2 linked regions of the Schizosaccharomyces pombe genome follow. Changing the gene in region 2 together with the main gene of any one other region gives a genetic interaction. Each region holds a gene or a part of one and is shown on either strand. Other genes may lie near its edges.

Region 1 (4,346 bases), on a different chromosome or scaffold from region 2:
TATGGATGTGGTAACGAGTTTTTGAGACTAGGGTCCAATTTGACTTGAGCGATAATCTTTTCGAGCGGTACTAACGAATGTGGTTTTTCAGTTAACTTCCAAGACCACACAAACTCCCTGGAATTATTAGGCTGTACTCGAAACCTTAATTGAGGCTTAGTAAGATGAGCTGCGTGAATAACCTTGTAGGGCAACTTTTCTTTCTTTGGTTTTTTATTGGCAACATCGCTTGTCGACGCATGGGTTTCGATCGCTGGCTTTTTTAAAAGTCCTTGAGCTTTATCGATAGAATAGTCCTATATTCATACGTCTTAGTTAAATAAAATCCGTTTACAATTTCAAAAATTCACTTACAGCTTTTTCAAAGAGTATGTCTAATGTGTCCGATACTTCTGCCCATCTATTATCTATATCTTCAACGTCCACAATATCCTCCGCCCGACTTCTGTCTACTTTAGAAAGAAGCAATTCAATTAATCTCATAAAACGAGAAGAAACACTTTTTATGTTTTCATTGAATTCGGTATCAATTGATTTATAAAACGGTATATCAACCTTTGCCAATTCAGAGCAATAGGCTGTACTATTCATTAAACCCTTAAACAATTCTGACTCATCCATTATGCTATTGTTTACCCTACTGGATCAGTAAGGTTTTTGGTTTGGTTCAGGAATTTTCAAGCACTTTTACCACACGCTCAACGAATTACCGAACTTGAATATAGACATCGTTAAAGTACGAAATACAAGAGCTATTTTTATATATATAAAATATTTTACACAAATGCAAAATCTTAGCAGAATTATGTAAAAGCAATTATTTATGATTAGTTCAAAATTGTGAAACTATTAGCAGGCAACTATAGAGAGGTCTTTTATAATATAGGCATTCAATTTTGATCAAAAAGTAAAAAAATAATCAAAGTAGATGAATTACAAATTTAAAAACTTCGGATAATCTAGAATGGATGAAACAATCAAATCAGTTGGATCATCGAGCGTCCTTTTTTGGAAAATTAATGAACGATATATGTATTGAGACCTTCTATAAGGATTAAGAATTGTAACAGCAACCATCCCATGATGTTGATGATGGATCAACACATGACTTTCGAAATAAAATATTTATATATGCTTCGATCTATATACGATAATTTCGTCGAATAGTAAACCGTAAGTAGAAGGAAGTACCTGAGATGCTGAGTAAAAATAGAACGAAGACCTTTAAGAACTAAAACGCAGAACAAAGTTGAAAGATCGGCAAAAACTCTACACACTATTACTCTTATCAAAGGACAAACCACATTCATCTATTCTAGCAATTAAATCCCGTTCGGAGAAAGAAGTCTAATTTTTGTTCATCCACTGTTCTTCATGCCATGGACCGGCGTCAGATAGTTCGCAGCCACCTGGACATTGGCAGTTTCCACCGAGTTTAGCAGGAAGATTATCAGCAGGGATTTGTTCGAGCAGAGCACTCTTATAGTTTGAGCCTAAAATATGAATTTTTTTGACAGTTGCCTCATCCAAAAAACCTTTGATAAGATTAAAGGCAGAAGAGAATCCCCAAGGAGCGTTAATTACATAAAACTTGCCCATCCTTTCGGGGTAATAATCTTGACTCTTTAACGTGTTAATACTTGAAAAAAAAAAAAAAGAACAAAAATTTCAACATTTTCAACTTACAATGCTTGATGCTTGACGAATGTAGCTGTAAACCGAGTGAATACTAGTAATACCAACACCCTTTAGATCCATGATTGTGCACGAAGTTTCAATCAAGCCTCCTGCTTTACGAGAACAAGCGGGCTGAAGACGGTTAATAAAGATGAAAAGAAATATCAAAATGAAAAAATATATCACAAAAAATTCAACACAGTAGAAAACCAAAAGTTTTTCTATTAAAAAGCCGAAAAACCAGCCTTATATGGAATATGCAAATCCAAAGGAAAGGTTTGATTATGAGAATTACTGGAGATACATTTAATCATTTGAATTTACTTACAAACCGTTTTAAAGCAAGCATTTCATATTCATAAACCAAATTTTGCATCATACGCTCGGGAGTCGTGATTTGGTACAACTTCTTCAAATCAATGTTACCGAGTTGCTCAACGTATACCGGACGGCCGTCGATGTCAGTTTTATGATAAAATTGAGGGTAATATTTGGAAACGGCTTCTTTCTCATCATAATGAAAGTTTTTGATAAGATCATCAACACCAAATTCTTTTCTCCACTTTTCGCATTTAATAAACATTTCCAGCGACTGTTGCAAATTAAATTTACGGGCTCTCAAAAAACGCAACTAAGAATCCATTAGTACAAACACAAAGTTTCCTGCTGTACAACTTACTAAAGTGGCATCGTCTAATCTTTCCGTGTATCCAAGTTTTTGTAACTCTAAACGCATGCTATCTAGCGTAGCTTGCTGTGTAGAATTCAAATGCCCTGGGTGCCCTAATGGAGCATTTGGATTAGTTAGAGGATAAGGATCCGATATAGTTTCTGACATCTTTTTGTTTAGACGATGGTTGTAGAGAGAAGACCTAATGACCCAGTCTGTACAAGATGTATAAAGGAAAAGGAAGAACGTCAGCGACCTTAATACTAGTGGTCATCAGCCGTGGGGGATCAGTCAAGCGTGGGGGCCTTTTACCTACTACCGCAGGAACCTTTGTTGCCATGCTACACCCAACGCTATTGTTATATGTGAGTATGAGGATAAACTTCAGTGTTAAAAATCAGATGAGAGGAAGAAGCTCCTCGTATGAGGTTTAAATTGTGTATAACCAATTTTTCAACTTGCATGAAAAGTGCGACAAATTTGAGATGCAGAATGGCCTTCAACGAGGCGTTGAAGGTAAATAAAACATGGGGAAAAAGTGACAATTTAACTTTGTGGAAGCATTTTTTCTTTACCAAAAAAAACGAACGATAGATAATGTTTATTTTATTTAAGCCTTTGAGTGCGCTTGTGGTGATTTTCTGTCATCAATATTTATGCACCTGACAGCTTTGAAAGAGTAAACCAGGCACTAAGAAGCGTTATAGTACATAGAGTATAGAATATGTAAATGGATGATCATATTGCGATTTTGAGATTGTTGTCTATGTAAAAACGGTATAGGAGTATCGTAGCTGGATATTTATGTGAAGTAAAACAGTTCAATTTTATGATTGTTCAGTTTTCGTATTATAAATGAGGAGTAGAAAATTGTCATAGAGTTGTGATTAAAAAAGAACTTTAAATAAGCAAATATAGTAAAGGAAAAGAAATTTTATTGCAAATGGAAAAATATTTCGTGAATAAGCAATTTAACAAAAAATACATATTGAAACGTAAATAAAGTAATACTATACGACATAAAAAATAAAATAAAATAAAATCTAAAGAATGAATAAAATAAATAATAATTAGACTAACAGCCACTTAAATATATATACAAAATTTTTTTAAAAACTAGTTTTGTCTCGCAAACGTAATTATTGTTTCCTTCTCTTTCGATCGAACTTCAGCCATAATTTTGAAAGCGTTTCTTCCACGCAAAGTTTAACAAAACATACAAGAGTGAAAGGCATTGCTTGAATGGACAGTCCATTTTGTACTTGCATAAAATTTTCAAGTTAGTATCAAATTTTCTACATGTTAGCAATAATACATTTATTTACATTGATTTTACCTTTAAAGACCTATAACAATATAAATTTTTGATTATTATATTAACGTTACGGAAGGATAGTATAATCGTCAAAATATCGTTATAATTTAACAAACGAATAAATGCAGGAAACAATGCATTACGCAAGCTTGTTACTAAAGGCAGGAAGCATAGTTTGAATATAGGATGAAAACCGTGGATATCAATGTTATAAGCATTTAACATTGAATAAGTATGGTAGAGGTGAAAAGAATCAGTACTACGTTTCTTAATTGGCAACCTTGCACCTCAAACCCAGCTGAAGTGTACTTTGCACACGAGTCTATTACTACATGGTTTTTTTATACATATTAAATAATAGCAATGGTTATTTGAACTGCAATAACGGTAACCCTACCCCGATATCTCCAAGTTTGAAAATTTACTGCTTTTATGAAAATTTAGTTTACAGTTTGTTTTGGAAACGATTATGCTATCAGTGCAGAAGCTGAAAAAAAGAAAATTTCGGGATAGTAAAATTGTTTTCATGTCATTTCCCTGGCGGTGGTTTTGAAAAGCCCGAAGTTCCATTCATTTGAGTGGCAACTTAATTTTTCATCTATTTAAAGGATGCAATTTTAGTACCACTCCGCCGTATCTTCTACCTAAGACATAAAGTTGTGAAGAAGAAAAAAAAATAAAGGT
Region 2 (4,592 bases):
AAAATGGTGTTAAATCGACAGCTAAGGGCTCAGCTGGGAATCATGAAAAGAATTCAGTTAATGGTCAAAAGAATCCTGAAATGCCTCCAAAACGTCGGAAGACAGAAGAAAACAAAAAGCCTACAAAATCCGCCCTTCCCAAGAAAGAGGCTAGCAAGAAGAAGAATCCAAAGGTCAAAGGTATGTTGGTTTATGCTGTTCAATATGGAGAATGGAGTACCTGTTTACTTTAATACTAACATTCAATTAAGGTCCTGTGGATGTTGAAAAGCAATGCGGTGTTTTGCTTCCTAATGGGCAAATGTGCGCCAGATCTCTCACATGTAAAACGCATTCAATGTCAAGCAAACGAGCCGTTCCGGGAAGATCTCAGCCATACGATGTTTTGCTTGCAGCTTGTCAAAAGAAAAACCAAGTAAAAATACAACGACAAATCCTCGAAACTGCAAAAGAATCCGAAGATAATCAGCATCAAGCGCCTGTTGATTCTGATGAAGAAGTCAGTTTCATTATGAATGTTCTCCAGAAATCTGGCAATCAGCCTTTGGAGCAAAAAGTTTTTTTACCCGTAAAACGTCGCCATTCGTATTTTCGTACTAGAGAGTTAATAGCTGCTGCATTTCGACATGGTGAGCAGGGTATGCAAGTTACTGGTACTATATTGGGACGAGTGATTCCTTTTAGTGCCCGCCAACCACTATAAAGAAATTCTTTTGATTTTGCTTCGGTTGATGATTTAAATTCTTTATGAGATTATAGTTTACATTTTGGTCTACTTGACCACGCATTTTCGACTTTTTAATTTTCTCCTCCGTTCATCTAGTTTCTATTTCATTAATTTTTTCATTTTTTATTTTGTATATTGCACCATACGGTCTTAACATTTGGAATAATCAAGTAGAAGTTAATAAACTATAAAAATACCAATAGAACCCAAAACCAATAATCAATTCTAAAAAAAAGAAAGAAACAAGTATTCTCCAAAAATATATGTACACGTTTGTAGTCTAATTTTTTAAAAGAAACAGCAAAGTTTATGGTATCAGTTTGTTGCAAATCCTCAGTCTCACAATCAATCCTTTAGCCCTCTAAATCATCCTTGTTTTCAGCCGAATCTTCTTCTTCATCGCTAGAAAGAACATCAGGCAATTTTGAGGAAACCTCTTGCGTCTTTTCAGTAATGCCTATATCTGATAAATAACTGAAATCTTCTTCATTATAACTGTCAATAAAAGACAAAAAACAATGAAATCTAAACCGGTTAGTTAATTTAAGAAAAAAATATACTTACACTTGTTTACGAGCTTCTTCGAGAAAAATTTTATCATAAATATGAGCATGCTTAAAAGCAGTAATTTTTTGCTCGTACTTTGTAAAGTCGATAGGATCACGATTATTCTCTGGAGCTTTATGTTCATTATAACCTTTAAAAAACGGTGACTCTAATAAAAGTCCAAAACCAGGTCCCTTGGGTATGTTAATTTTTGTTTTTTTAAAGGCATCTTGTATGCGCTCAACAGGACAACCCGTTCGTACAACTAAAATAGCAAGCGCAATCATCTTTCTAATTTGGTGCAACATAAAAGATTGACCATGAACTTTACATGAAATCCATTCTGTATCGCCAATCATGAATGGATCAGATGCCTAGAATGTTAGAAACAAGACTTGTCAAGAATACTATAAATACAAAGAAGATAATTCTTACTTACAGTAAAAGAACGGATCACGCGATTACTATTCTTCTGATGAAATGCTTGCCCCACAGTAAAATTGTGAAAGTTATGAACTCCAACATATTGGTTTAAAGTTTCTCGAATAACGGACAGCCTATCTGCGGAAATACGGTAATTTTTTAATTTAAGTACTTCAATGTGCTTAAGTGCACGTTCGAGACGATAACTGGGATCAATCTTGGAACCAGCAGATTCGTCTTCAACAGAGTCAGGCTTTAAAAACTCGTTTACAATAGCAGAGGAATCGGAATCCATATCTGGATTAGTTTTAGCGGAAACTCCTGCTTCAGAGCCCTTATTATTTTCCGAATTAGCAAGAGCAGCAGCTCCCCTTTTAGAATATGGATTTACGAAGCCTTCAGGATCCTGTTCATAAAGGCTCAAAATCTCTTTGGCTGCAATATCATAATCATCCCAAAATTCCTTTCCTTCTTCATAAAATAATGAACGACTGAGTTGATTTATATTTTCCTTGTTAATTGGCTCAGCAGGCATGGGAGAATTCTTCATAATGCAATTTCCAAGTATGGACGAAGGTTTCGGTGGAACAAAAGCATACGTTGGAACCATATATTCATATATACGAGATTCGCAATAAGTCCTTGGGTTAAAAGAATTAATAGTACGGATCACATCCCATAAGCGAATGGAAGGAGGGAGGTGTTCGTTCACTTTTTCAATTAACTTCTCATCTTCCATTATAAGTTTGAGACTGATAACATTTCCAGCGGCATGAACTCCTTTATCAGTTCTTGCGGCTCTTGCTAAAGCAACTTTCTTTGGGTCATCAGCGTTATAAGAAGAAACGGCACCAGCCTTCACAAAAGCATCAAAAAGATCTCCTTCGATTGTTTTACTAGGAGGATTCAATTGCATACCATGATATCCGCTACCACAATAACCTACAAGACAGGCGACCTTTCTTTTCGGCTTTTTTTCTCCAACTACCAAATTCTCTGGCCGACCTTCTCCATTGTATATAGAATTAGGTCGGTTCCTTTTCGCTTCTCGACGATCACCATTGTACCAAGTGCGTTTACCACCACGTCCCATGCTGTAGTTAATATTATTTGTTTTTGATGAAAACGCAATTTACGCTGCACAGGTAAAAATTCATTTAAACATAGTAGAGTATATTTTCTTAATAATGAAATGCAAGGAATCGTTATTCATTCAATAAGATAAGAGTATAATTACACGATGGTTCACTAAACAATTATAAAACAATATACTTCGCTTACCTTAAGTTAAAAGTTTTAAGAATTAAAAAGCTAAATATTGTATCGCATTTCGAGCAAAAACAGATTGATGAAGCATTCAAACCAAAAAAAAATAATCAGCCTGAAAAAGGAATGACTTAAGACTGACTATTAATTGTTGCTTATTCTCTGTCTCTGTGTTTTATCTTTTGTTACCAGTTGTCGAAGTAAAGGCCAAATTGAAACCCGTGACTAATCCTTCCAATAACTAAGAAAAGTATACCTATTATCAATTTTATATCAAAAATCTAGTCCTTTTCATCGTTCATAAACCTCATTTTTTATTTTTTTCTTCCACACGTTACGAACAAAACCGCAAATTGTCAGCAATACTACACTAAGCTATGATATATTACGTTGCGTTTCACTATATGTCACATGTTCTAATTATATATCGTACCATGTATGATACGATATTGATATTGATCTTAATTAAAATCTATTAATATGTATATTATCTGAATACTATAAATAGAGCTACTGCTGAACCTCGTTCCTCAGTTCAGTTATGAGCTATATTAGTGATAGGTAACATTATAACCCAGTTAATACAATACCTATACTCAGTTGCTACTTATACAACCTGTGTATTGTAATATAATAGATCACAAGGAAAACTCACCGCAGTTCTACGTATCTTTAAATCAGATACCAAACTGCGTAGCCGACACAAATGAACTATAACGAACTAATATTAGTTGCAACTTACGACGGCTTTACTTGAGCTCTTTAAATTTAACGTATTCGCAACAATCACAGTGCGTGTAAAACACCCACTAGAATGTTGACACCATTGTGCATTTTATTATTTTTCTCAAATATTGGAATTGGTGCTTAATAACTCATATTGGTATATCAATATATTAAATTATTTGACATTTAAGATACTAATGAAATAGTTATTTCATTCGTGTGCTTTAGCCGTTATCATCGGACGGTTTACATAAAATATCAGCGTTTTTATAATTACGCGTGCTTCTTTTTTCTTTTTGTCGTATTTAAAAAGCCAAGGAAATTGTTTTTGATAATCTGTTTTTTACATGGAAAACGATGAACAAATAGATGAGACAGAAGTATGACCAATATGGACTGGTAGACGCAGGTGTTTTGAAATTATTATGCTGACGATTGTTTAAAGAATTTTGCAATTGGAAAATATGCCATTTTATTTGTGATTGAAGTTTCTCCCAGTATGCTTGATCCTGTCGATGAATTTACTCCCAGCTCTTTGCAGATGGCACTTATTTGTGCGTACCAGCTGGCGGCTCAAAGAGTAATCACAAATCCCAGCGACATAATGGGTGTATTGCTCTATGGTACTGTAAGTTTAATGCTGCATTTAAATTCACCGACGTTTACTTCTGCCATTAAATGTCTCTAACCACAGCGCAGGAGTCCTCTACGGGCCGATTCGCAAATCAAATGATGCTTTTAGACATTGATCCTCCTGATGCTGAACGTATTAAAAGCTTACAAAGCTTTGAAAAAGGTAAAAGCTTTTAACCGATTACTTTCTTTCATGCTTTTTCCCCACTGATTACTAATTTTGTTCAATTGTTTAAGATTTCCAATTCTCAAAAGAAAAATTCAAACCATG

The links.
Region 1: mutations in pus1 (region 2) and spo20 together harm fitness more than expected from each alone (negative genetic interaction), as found in Schizosaccharomyces pombe (one large-scale study listed by BioGRID).

The regions. Positions count from the first base shown.
Region 1 is NC_003424.3:607,161-611,506, reverse strand, and holds spo20 (sec14 cytosolic factor family, phospholipid-intermembrane transfer protein Spo20/Sec14), read right to left. Parts: upstream 2,539-4,346; 5' UTR 2,516-2,538; coding exon 2,357-2,515; intron 2,309-2,356; coding exon 2,006-2,308; intron 1,979-2,005; exon of another isoform or gene 1,810-1,978; coding exon 1,687-1,809; exon of another isoform or gene 1,665-1,686; intron 1,624-1,664; coding exon 1,348-1,623; 3' UTR 804-1,347; downstream 1-803. Other genes in the region: exosome 3'-5' exoribonuclease subunit Rrp6, read right to left, coding at 1-296, 355-621. UniProt on the Schizosaccharomyces pombe protein: Required for transport of secretory proteins from the Golgi complex. Catalyzes the transfer of phosphatidylinositol and phosphatidylcholine between membranes in vitro. Essential for viability and secretion.
Region 2 is NC_003421.2:2,118,862-2,123,453, reverse strand, and holds pus1 (tRNA/U2 snRNA pseudouridine synthase Lsp1), read right to left. Parts: upstream 2,840-4,592; 5' UTR 2,790-2,839; coding exon 1,713-2,789; intron 1,648-1,712; coding exon 1,292-1,647; intron 1,253-1,291; coding exon 1,081-1,252; 3' UTR 824-1,080; downstream 1-823. Other genes in the region: SAGA complex deubiquitinating submodule subunit Sgf73, read left to right, coding at 1-180, 252-703; Ku domain protein Pku70 , read left to right, coding at 4,036-4,068, 4,134-4,316, 4,388-4,484, 4,559-4,592. UniProt on the Schizosaccharomyces pombe protein: Formation of pseudouridine at positions 27 and 28 in the anticodon stem and loop of transfer RNAs; at positions 34 and 36 of intron-containing precursor tRNA(Ile) and at position 35 in the intron-containing tRNA(Tyr).